Linked DNA regions of Arabidopsis thaliana. The protein of the gene in region 1 interacts with the protein of each later gene in a pairwise test. Each region holds a gene or a part of one and is shown on either strand. Other genes may lie near its edges.

Region 1 (4,904 bases):
AAATTGAAATCAAAGGCTGATTATTTATGTATATGTTGGTTACAGATGTGGATCTCCAAGGCCGAGTATGATGAGGCAGGTCCAGGAATCGTTCACAGAAAATGTTTCTAAGCTCTCAAGATCAAAGGCTTAAAAAGCTGGGGTTTTATGAATGGGATCAAAGTTTCTTTTTTTCTTTTATATTTGCTTCTCCATTTGTTTGTTTCATTTCCCTTTTTGTTTTCGTTTCTATGATGCACTTGTGTGTGACAAACTCTCTGGGTTTTTACTTACGTCTGCGTTTCAAAAAAAAAAACCGCTTTCGTTTTGCGTTTTAGTCCCATTGTTTTGTAGCTCTGAGTGATCGAATTGATGCCTCTTTATTCCTTTTGTTCCCTATAATTTCTTTCAAAACTCAGAAGAAAAACCTTGAAACTCTTTGCAATGTTAATATAAGTATTGTATAAGATTTTTATTGATTTGGTTATTAGTCTTACTTTTGCTACCTCCATCTTCACTTGGAACTGATATTCTGAATAGTTAAAGCGTTACATGTCTTCCATTCACAAATGAACTTAAACTAGCACAAAGTCAGATATTTTAAGATCGCACCATTTTATATAACCCCAATCGTCAATTCTACTGTTTCAAGTTTTACACCAAAACAATTACGAGGTGTATCTATTCGTTACTCTTTTCGCTTATTAATCCTTTTACATGATGCAAAATATAACAAATTAATTTCAAATTGTCCTGCACATTTGGTTTATACATCTTGATTCCAAAAAGTCAACTCGTTGAAGAATTAATCAATACTCGAAACGAGTCTTCCTTGGGCCCTAAAATATTGTCCTATCTAGTTGATGCTTATATAGCATATATGGGCTAATAAATTGGGCCTTAGCTTTGGAAAAGGACGTAGAACTTGAAACAATTTTTATTTTTCTTTTTCCGGCGAAACAATTATCTAATTACCAATTTAACCCCAATCCTTTCTCAGTTTCTCTCTTCCGCGTCTCTCCTTCTCGTTATCCTGCAAATTAGGGTTTAAGTAAGAAAAAAAAGCTAGAGAAGTATCTCGATCTCTTCTTCTGTTAGATTCTGCTTTCCTTTGAGATTTGCTAGTGTAATCGTAACCTCCGAAGACCCAAGATGGCTCGTAATGAAGAGAAAGCACAGTCGATGCTCAACAGATTCATCACCCAGAAAGAATCTGAGAAGAAGAAGCCAAAAGAGCGTCGACCTTACCTCGCATCAGAATGTAGAGATCTAGCTGAAGCAGACAAATGGAGACAGCAAATTTTGAGAGAGATCGGTAGCAAAGTAGCTGAGATTCAGAACGAAGGATTAGGAGAGCACAGACTTCGAGATCTAAACGATGAGATTAACAAGCTTCTCAGGGAGAGATATCATTGGGAGCGGCGAATCGTTGAGCTAGGTGGTCACAATTACTCGAAACATTCGGCGAAGATGACGGATCTAGAAGGTAACATAATCGATGTACCTAACCCTAGTGGTCGTGGTCCTGGTTATCGTTACTTCGGAGCTGCTAAGAAACTTCCTGGTGTTAGAGAGCTTTTTGAGAAGCCTCCTGAGCTGAGGAAGCGTAAAACTAGGTATGATATATATAAAAGGATTGATGCTAGCTATTATGGGTATAGAGATGATGAAGATGGTATTTTGGAGAAGTTGGAGAGGAAATCTGAAGGAGGGATGAGGAAAAGATCGGTGGAGGAGTGGCGGAGATTAGATGAGGTTAGGAAGGAAGCTAGGAAAGGTGCTAGTGAGGTTGTGAGTGTTGGAGCTGCAGCTGCTGCGGCGAGGGAAGTGTTGTTTGAGGAGGAGGAGGATGTTGTTGAGGAGGAGAGGATGGAGAGGGAGAAAGAGGAGGAGAAAGAGAGGGAATTTGTGGTTCATGTTCCGTTGCCTGATGAGAAGGAGATTGAGAAGATGGTGTTGGAGAAGAAGAAGATGGATCTGCTTAGTAAGTATGCTAGTGAAGATTTGGTTGAGCAGCAGACTGAGGCTAAATCCATGCTCAATATTCATAGATAGAAAGGTGATCATCTCTTCTTGTAAGGCTTTTTAATCATATCATAGTATAATTTTATTGTCTGTAGTTTCTTTTGCAGTTTTTGATCAGAAAATTGACTGAACTGCTGTGTGTTTTAAGAAATTTCGATTAGAGGAATTCTAAAAATTTGTTGATGTTTCTTATATTATTACATCCTAGATTATGATCTTAGAGAATTTGCTAGATCTTGATTTATATTTCCTTAGTAGTCCTGGTCTGTTTGAGAGTATGATAAGGCTTCTGTCGAGTAATGTCATAAAGCGCGATCAATCTATAACAACAACGTACATTCTTGCTTCATTAATCAAGAGTTTCACTGACCTGAGTAATTGACCTAGTACCCTTGTATGTGGAGCTTAGATTTGCAGAAACTGTTATTTCAATGGGACATACTTTAGTTAGTGCCTTAGTGGCATGCATTAGGATGCGAAGGAATTCGTATTATATCTTCTCTTGAATTGAATCTGAGAGGCTGATACATCATCTCTATGCTTCTCAGATGCTCTGTTTTACCAACAAACTCAGCCGCGATGGTCTCTTGCCTAAAGAAGAAACGATGTTGGGCGTTTGAAATATGATTTCATGGAAACAAATGTGAAAGACTCAAGGAGAAGATACAATGTCACTTGGAACTGAACTAGTGTATTCTATTATGTAGCTCGACTTTTGTATCTTTATACTTCTGAATGTAATGCTCATTGCCTGAGGTTTATACATTGTTCCTTTGGCTCTAACTAGATTGGTGCTATGCAGAGACATAAGTTGAGACCAACCACAAGCATTTTTCTGGTTTTGATTTTACTCCCAGTAAAATATTTATTGAGTACGGACAAAACATCAAAAATCAGAACAAGACCGTTGAGATGGATAATACTTGTCTAGAGATACGAACCACACCCACATGTTCCTACACACAATCCCCAAACCATCTCTCTAACCAATAACACTTTTTCTCTCTTCTCAGTCCTTCAATGGCGGACTACGACGACGAAATTGACCAGAATAACCAACCTTTCATCCCCAAAGAAACTGCTCTACAAGCACTAAACTCAATAATCCAGCTCCACTTCGAGAAAACCTTAGAGAAGAAACGAGCCATTGACCACCAGAAGAAGAAGCTCCACAAGCTATTTCAGCTCTTCTTCATCTTCCTCGCCGTAATCTTCTTCTCCCTCTCTCAACCCTCAGGTCGTCTTCACTGCCGCCATTGCTGGGCACCCATCTGCCTCCTATCCTTCTCTCACCTCTTCTTCTACGTCTCCGTCGCTCAAACTCTCCGTTGCATCAACGGCTTCAAGTACCAGCGTCGCTGCCATAAGCTCACTCTCGGTCTCGCCACTCACAAGCTCCGTTTCATCAAGTCAAGAATCGCTGCCGGAGATTTCCTCGGTGGAGGCGACGGTGATGAGGCCTCTGCTGCTGCTTGGGATCTGGAAGTTCCGTATCAAGAACCACCTGATAGCTACTTTGGCAAGTTTAAGAGAAATTGGGCTCTCTATTTTGGGTTCTTGATCCTTCTTTACACTTTCATGATCTCTTTCTCTGTCGTTATCCTCTGTTTCTGAGATCTCTAGAGTGGCATTTTCGTAAATTTTGCAAAACCCATCTGTTTCTTATTATTCATTAGTCCTCAGCTTTAGAATGATCAAGAAGATTGAAATAAAACAAAGTTAGAATCTTTGACATTTGATTCAATCTGGTTACTGAAGCCCTAGTCAATTACTTGATTGAGAGATGGGATTAAGACAGACAATTAGCATTAATAAATCAATTAATCACAATCAAAAGTTTTGAATTTTTTTTCACAGACACAAACACAAATCCAACGGTGACAAAAAGAATAAAAGAGTTGAAAAAAAAAATTCATAGGGGAAACAAAACACAAAAACACAGCAAGGAAGATTGTTTTGAAACTAACAAGCTAAATCAATGGTCTCGGCTAGGAGTGGTTTTGTTGTTGTTAGCTCCTCCTCTACGAATCTCCTCGCTGCTCGAGGAAGACGGGTCAAGCCCGTATTCGCTCGTGTTCCCGTACTCGCTGCTTGCACCGTACTCATGACTATCCAATGCCACTTTCCTGAACTTCTTCATATCCGCACTGTAAGTGCTTGAGTCATAGTCCGAGCTTGAACCCCTCCCGAGGAATGAGCTTTGTCCCGCTTTCCCTCCTTCGCTTAGATCGTCTAGCGTTGCATCTCCCTCCAGAGCCCGAACAATCTGTTTTAACATTGGACCATAGTGATCATTCTCTTGGTGTAAAGTATATGTTTAAAAGAGTGGTCATGTTCAAAAGTAAAACTTGCCTGGCTCATCTTAGGCCTGCGTCTAGCTGAGTGCCTGACGGCTGCAGCGGCACAAGCAACCATTTGTGCCATCTCATGAGGCTCGTATTGGTTTTCGAGACGTGGATCAACTAGTTCACTGTAATCTCCATCCTGAGCTGCGTTTAAGCATATGGGTCTTGCCTGTGTAAAAAAAGTAACCAAGTTTGCATTAGATCACAAGATTCTAACAGAGGAACCATTAATGTGATGAATATATTTAACCATATGATTACGGACCCAATCGACCAAACTGTCTTCCATTTCACCAGTGAGATCAACAGGTCTGCGTCCGGTAACTAGCTCAAGAAGCATCACTCCAAAGGAGAAAACATCTGATCGGTCTGTCAGTTTCCCGCTTGACGCATACTCTGGAGCCAAGTACCTGTCGTTTGATTCACAATTTGAGATTCTTTAGAGAAACAGATTTTCGGATGAGATTATAAAACAAGAATGTTTTTGATATAGAAGTAAGAGCTAATGAAATTTGCAGGAACATTTTTCATCAGCTGGTTTCGCAGTCTTTAGTA
Region 2 (6,441 bases), about 13 Mb from region 1:
TTTGTTGAGTTGTGATTTTGGAGTATTTGATTGTGTTCTGGTTAGTGAGGAAGATCGACAATGGTTTGTGGAAGCTATGCAAGCACATACAATCGATTCAATCTCTCGTATGAAAGTAATATCTCAAATCATGAAGATGCCTGAACAAGTCTTGGAGGCTCAAGGAGTTACACCTGATGATCTTGAAGGTTCTTTACTTCGTTCCAATGGCGATTATTCGGTTATGCAAAAGAACCATACTGATCGATTTCATAAACTTATATCTACTTTTGTTTTGACAGGAATGTTGGCTGAGCTGCAGGAACACGTCGAGTCGATAGATTTGGCCAATGGTTTGATCTTACATAACTAGTCTTTGTTTTTCGAGGTTCTTTTTTTTAATATATTATTTGGATCTTTAAATGTTTTAGATCTTCACTCCATTGGAGGTTTGGTTCCTCTCCTTAGCTATCTCAAGAACTCTAATGCGAAAATTCGAGCAAAGTCTGCCGATGTTTTGACTACGGTTGTCCAAAACAATCCAAGAAGCCAGCAACTTGTTATGGAAGCAAATGGGTTCGAACCATTATTAACTAACTTTATTGCTGATCCTGACATTAGAGTCCGGACCAAGGCACTCGGGGCTATATCTTGTAAGAGTTACTATTTCTAGCAAAGTTTGCTTTGAGAACCCAAAAGTTTGACAGTTTTTTTCTTGCTTTCGACATTGCAGCTCTTATCCGTAACAACCAACCCGGGATTACAGCATTCCGTCTGGCAAATGGTTATGCTGGCCTGCGAGACGCTTTGGTCTCTGATACCGTTAGATTCCAAAGGTAAATAGGGTCTCAAGAATATGTATTAGGTAGATGAATTGATCCGGGTTTTGGTTCTGTTTCGGTTCAGGTTTTCAGTGTAGTAACCAATATACTCTTTCTGTTTCAGAAAAGCGTTGAACTTGCTTCACTATCTTCTCCAAGAAAGCAACTCAGACTGTAAAATCGTTAGAGATCTTGGATTCCCTCGCATAATGATCCACCTAGCATCCAACCAAGATTTTGAAGTTCGGGAATTCGCTCTTCGTGGTCTCCTAGAGCTTGCCCGTGAAGAATCTGTGAGAAACCTTGATAGAGGGGATGTGAATCTAAGACAGCTTCTTGAGGAGAGAACAAGACGAATAATTGTGATGTCGGACGAAGATCTTTGTGCAGCTAGAGAAGAAAGACAGCTAGTGGATAGTCTTTGGACCGTGTGTTATGATGAACCGTCCCTTCTAAGAGAAAGAGGTCTGGTCTACCTCCCTTCTGACGACGAGCTGGCTCCTGATGTGGTTAGGGACCGCTTTGAACCTCCTCTAAGGGCTTGGGCTGCAAGACGACATGATGAAACGAGTGAATCCCCGGTTCCACTTCTTCTTGGTCCTGCACCGTGATCTCGTTCAACCAAATTATTAGATTTTGCAGTTATCAACAAATCAGCTTTGCTTTAGAATTTCTCTAGCTCTTGTTTATGTATATCTGAGCGACAACAAGACGCTATTAAAGAGATTATCTGTGTTCTGTTTCTGTAATACAAATCTACACTCATGGACTTCAAGTTCTACAACTTCTCCGTTCACTTTGCCAATATCATAGTGTACCGTTATTATGTTTAAGTCATGAATAATACTTGCGAGACTGTTCTTGATACTGAATCCACTATCGCAATCATAATCTTCATACTCTATAAATTCTTATAAGATATCACAAAAAACTCAATTATATATTCCATACAAAGGCAAAAATGTATGTACATGATCCGTATTAGTAAACCTTTTTTAAAAAAACTATAAACATAAAACATTGCTAGAGTTGGAACATCAAACATCACCTCCCACCGGAGAGTAGAGAGTCAGCAATGGAAGATCCGCCGGTAAACCCTTTAAACACAGTGGAAAAATCAGTCATTGCAATACCGCTAAAACCGTCCCGGCCTCCCAGATTCATCACGCTCCCCGCCGACAAATCCAAGGGCGTTAATTCAGGCAGTGCCATGTCTCCTCTTAGATATTGTAAGACCTGCCTCATACTTGGTCTAGCCCGAGGGTCTGAATGCGAACACAACAGACCGAGTTTCAATACCATTTCAACCTCTTCAAGATCATAACCTGAAGAACCGAGCTTCGGATCTTTCGCTTCCATTATGTTACCTCTGAGCCACAAACTGAAAACCCATTCCACAAGCAAGAACGTATCATCGCTTGCACTATGGAACTCGATGGGTCGTCTACCGGAAACAACTTCTAAAAGAAACGCACCAAACGCATAGACATCAGTCGTGGTAGTGGCACGTCCAGTCCGGGAATGTTCAGGTGCTAAGTAACCCAATGTTCCAACAACGTGAGTGGTCTGAGGATCCGAGCCGTGATCATACAACCGAGCCAACCCAAAATCACCGAGTCTACCATTGAAATCAGCATCTAACAGAACATTGCTAGCTTTCACGTCACGGTGAATCACAACTTGTTCCCATTCCTCATGAAGATAGAACAATCCTGAAGCAACTCCTTTGATAATCGTAGATCTTTGTTTCCAATCTAAGGTAGTCTCCGGATTGTTGTAAAGATACTTATCTAAGCTCCCATTAGGCATGTAATCGTAAACCAAAAGAAGCTCTCCTCTCCGGCGACAGTAACCCAAGAGAGGAACTAAATTCCGGTGACTCATCCTACCAATACTCACAATCTCCGCCACAAACTCTTTCATACCTTGTTTTGAATCATGTGAGACTCTCTTCACAGCGACTTCAAGCTTCGTCGTTGGTAAAATGCCTCTGTAAACTCTCCCAAATCCACCGGAGCCGAGAAGATCCTTCTCCTTAAAACCTTTGGTCGCGTGATAGAGCTCCTTGAATCTGAATCGATTCTTCCCAAACTCTGTTTCCCAATCATCAAGCTCTTCCTCGTACTTCTTCTTCCTCCTCACGATGTAGAAAGCGAGGAAGATGATAGAGAAGATCAGAGATAGTGAAATCAAAGGCATACCGATTTTGTAGAATTCAGAGATTCTTCTAGGCTCAAATCGAGGAAGCTTCGGGAGTTTCGATAACGAGAGCATCGGAGCTTCTCCGTTTAACCGGAAACTCCATCCGACTAAGAAATGCTCCGAGAGAACTGAACCAGTCGCAGATGAGAAACCTACATACATATCTTCTAGAAGAATCGAAGAAAGATCTCTCACATACGAAACTAGAGGTTTTCTAGGTTTATCAGAATCAAACGGAGCCACGGTGACATCAATTCGATGACTACGATTATCGTAATCGATCCAAACTTGGATCCGTTTGCGACTAATCAAACTCAGATTCTGAAACTTATCGTGATCATCCCTATATCCCGCCGTCGAGTAATTCGCCGATCGTAAACCGTTGAGATCGATTCCGACGTGATTATCGTTTGGATCTCCAAACTCGCTACTCTGGATTGTATCGAATTCGACGGCAAAGATGTGATTCGTGTCGTTACCATTGTTAGAGATGTTGAAGAGACCGATGTATTGACTAGGAAGTGCAAAAGGAAGACCTAGCGTTGGAGCTACAACGAAGGCGATTCCATGGCCGCTTAGTGTTGGGATCTGAGAATGTATCGCGAAGACGAAGGTTGTGGAGAAGGATGATACGTTGCCGTTTTGGGAATCTTTGAACCGGATTCGTTCAGTACAGAAGGCGTGACCGGTTTTTTGTACCGATGTGTTGGTAAGCTTCAAGAGACCATTGGGTGTTACTGTTGCGAGACCTTGGAGTGAGATATCTGTTAATGGAGGATGGAAACCATTGTAGGTGAAGTTGAGATTTTGAGAGGAAGAAATCATAATTTGACAGAGTAGGAAGAAGAAGAAGATGAGCTTGAGCTTGACGAACATGGCTGCTTCCGGTTTAATCCGGTTTAGTTTTACTCTGTTTTGTTAAACGAAAGAGGAAAAGATTGAAGATAGAAATTGAAGTTATTAAAAGAGGTGAAGAGAAGGATAAGAAAAAAAAGTCGTGGTAGTGTTTCTTTGAGGCCACGCTTTGTGAGATTTGAATAATATGTCAGTGGTTGGTGAAGTATTAATCAAGATTATATAAGCTTGAATTAAATAGAAGTTAATTTCATTCTATGATTAATTGGTTTTATAAGGAGGAAGTGTATATACAAAAAAAAACCACACTTTGATTTTGACTGATGCATTAATCCAGTTTGTCTGCATGTGACTTCTAGTGGTCAATGGTCAATGAGTGAGATGTTGTTGATCATTTTTGTTTAGTTAAATTAAATGAAGTAAATTCAATCTTATGAGTCATATGGTTAAGACACACAAATTCAAGTTTGTGATTCTGAGACTGGAGTTCTAGAAACGTGTTTCTCTTCGGCTTTGTTTGGTTTTATTTCCAGAACTTTTGAACCATGGTAAAGCTTTCTTTTTTGGTCAACAAAACTTTTTTGGTTAAACTTCATATAACTAAATTTAACTTGTAAGAGAACTATCATTTCTCTAATTGACTAAAACGTTCTGGATGGTGACAGAAGTATTATTCTTGCAACATTTCCAAAACTTAATATTGTGTGAACACTAAAAAGATATCAGAATAGATGTGTACTTATCCAAACGTTTCACAGGAAGTACAAAAGCAAAAATCATTTTAGATAGTGTGGCTTGAAAGGCTGAGATTGACGACAACAAACAAATGAGAGGCTAAGATTTACTATGTGTTATATTAGTGGTTATGTAACTAATATTGTTCCTTCATCAGAAAGTATTCAGTGGTCGACATATAAAATATTCCTCTGCATATGAATTTTTATAAATTTTGTGATGCAATAAACGGAAGATTCTTTTGACATTTTCTCCTTTGGCGTGATGCAGAAACAAACTAAATGCTGAGATAAATAATAGGATTTCATGTCACAGTACTTATGAATAAGTGGACTTATCCAAAAATTGTTAGATTTTTTCTCTTTTGATAATAGATTGTATCATTTTTAGGAAATGAAATGTTCCATAAATACACTATAGTCTATAGTGACGTTGAAAACTTGTTTGAGGTGTAGGAAAACGTGAATGAATGAATCCTGGATTTGTGAGAAAGAAAGGTAGTGATAAGAGGGAGAGAGCAACGACTTTAAGGAGTGATATGATAGTGATGGGTCCTCATGTGTCAAATGGACAACTGGTCAAAACTTGTCCACTTGTCTCTTTAGGAAGCTTCTCAATTTTTGACCTTTGATTTTTCGTCTCAGTCAGCTTCATGATCGATCTTCTTTGAATTTTCTTGCACTTCAATTTTATTCTATCCCGACACTCTAACATTTAGGAGGACTGGTTATAGTTGGATTCGGATGTGTTAAATTGATATGATAGGGTTTAGAAACATAAAAGAACGCCATATAACTTCTTTTTGGTATTAGATTCTCAGAATAAAATGACAAGATCATATTCTTATATAGATATTGAAGTTGGCTAAGTTAATAAAATACAAGTACTGTAAAAGTAATATCTTTGGTAACGATCTTGATCGGTCAATTTTTAGTTCAAAATCTCGACATATTTTCCAATAAGAAGTATTATAGACTAATACTATGAACAATTCGGAAAGCATACAGAAAAGAAAAGCCTATAGTATGGCAACTGGTCAAAATCCATATTTTGTTGATTCAAAACTTCTCAAGGTTTAAATTTCAGTAAAAAGAAACCAATTTTTTTTCTGGACCACAAGAAAACTAGCTTAAGAGATTTTGAAAGAAATTTCTGAATGTTTTTCTTTTGGTTGATGGATATATCATTGATTTCAGAAAAAAAAAAAAAAAGGAAAATAATCCAGTTATGGCTAAGCCCAGAATCAGGCCCAGGCCCAGATGCATTTAGTTAGTAATGTATAAGATAAGCCCCATATATATGTTTTTTTTATATCTAAAAGTTACAAAAAAAGTTCAGAGTATAATAAAAACTTCTAACAATTATAATCGAAACTTTTTCTTTGAGGTTGCAGATAAAGACATCCATGTGAAACGCCGACACTGAAAAGTCACTCAAAGAAATGTTCAAATTAGAGTTGTTCTTAGAAGCCAACCGTAGGGTTAAAATAAGCTAATGGAGATTATAATGTTAATTTGTCAATATCAATTATTTGTTGGATAAGTCCAAAAGACTAATGCGGAATTGTTCTAAATAGTTTTCCCTAAGCAACGATTATAATACTTTTCCCTCGTTAACCATTTCACAAGTTAACTAAGCGAGTGCCGTCAACATTTATATACATTACAAACTGACCAGTTATGTAAGTTGCTTCCCGCCATTATTAGATGTTGGCATGTTGCTATCGTGAAAAGTCTTTTTAATTTCATTTTTGTTGTTGTTCGGATATTTATATTGTGAACATACATTATAAACTGAGATTGCAGGTTAATTAGTTAGAAAACATGGTAAATTCAATGTAATTGCGACA

What was found. Proteins that work in one complex are often made in the same cells at the same time.
Region 2: the proteins of AT3G18800 (region 1) and AT3G53810 interact in a protein complementation assay, tested with the Arabidopsis thaliana proteins (one large-scale study listed by BioGRID).

The regions. Positions count from the first base shown.
Region 1 is NC_003074.8:6,476,722-6,481,625, forward strand, and holds AT3G18800 (uncharacterized protein), read left to right. Parts: upstream 1-2,865; 5' UTR 2,866-3,024; coding exon 3,025-3,618; 3' UTR 3,619-3,742; downstream 3,743-4,904. Other genes in the region: ACT2 (actin 2), read left to right, coding at 46-111; AT3G18790 (pre-mRNA-splicing factor ISY1-like protein), read left to right, coding at 1,132-2,034; PERK6 (Protein kinase superfamily protein), read right to left, coding at 3,980-4,270, 4,357-4,518, 4,615-4,759.
Region 2 is NC_003074.8:19,931,309-19,937,749, forward strand, and holds AT3G53810 (Concanavalin A-like lectin protein kinase family protein), read right to left. Parts: upstream 4,085-6,441; 5' UTR 3,879-4,084; coding exon 1,845-3,878; 3' UTR 1,662-1,844; downstream 1-1,661. Other genes in the region: Fes1B, read left to right, coding at 46-188, 282-332, 411-632, 713-815, 925-1,411.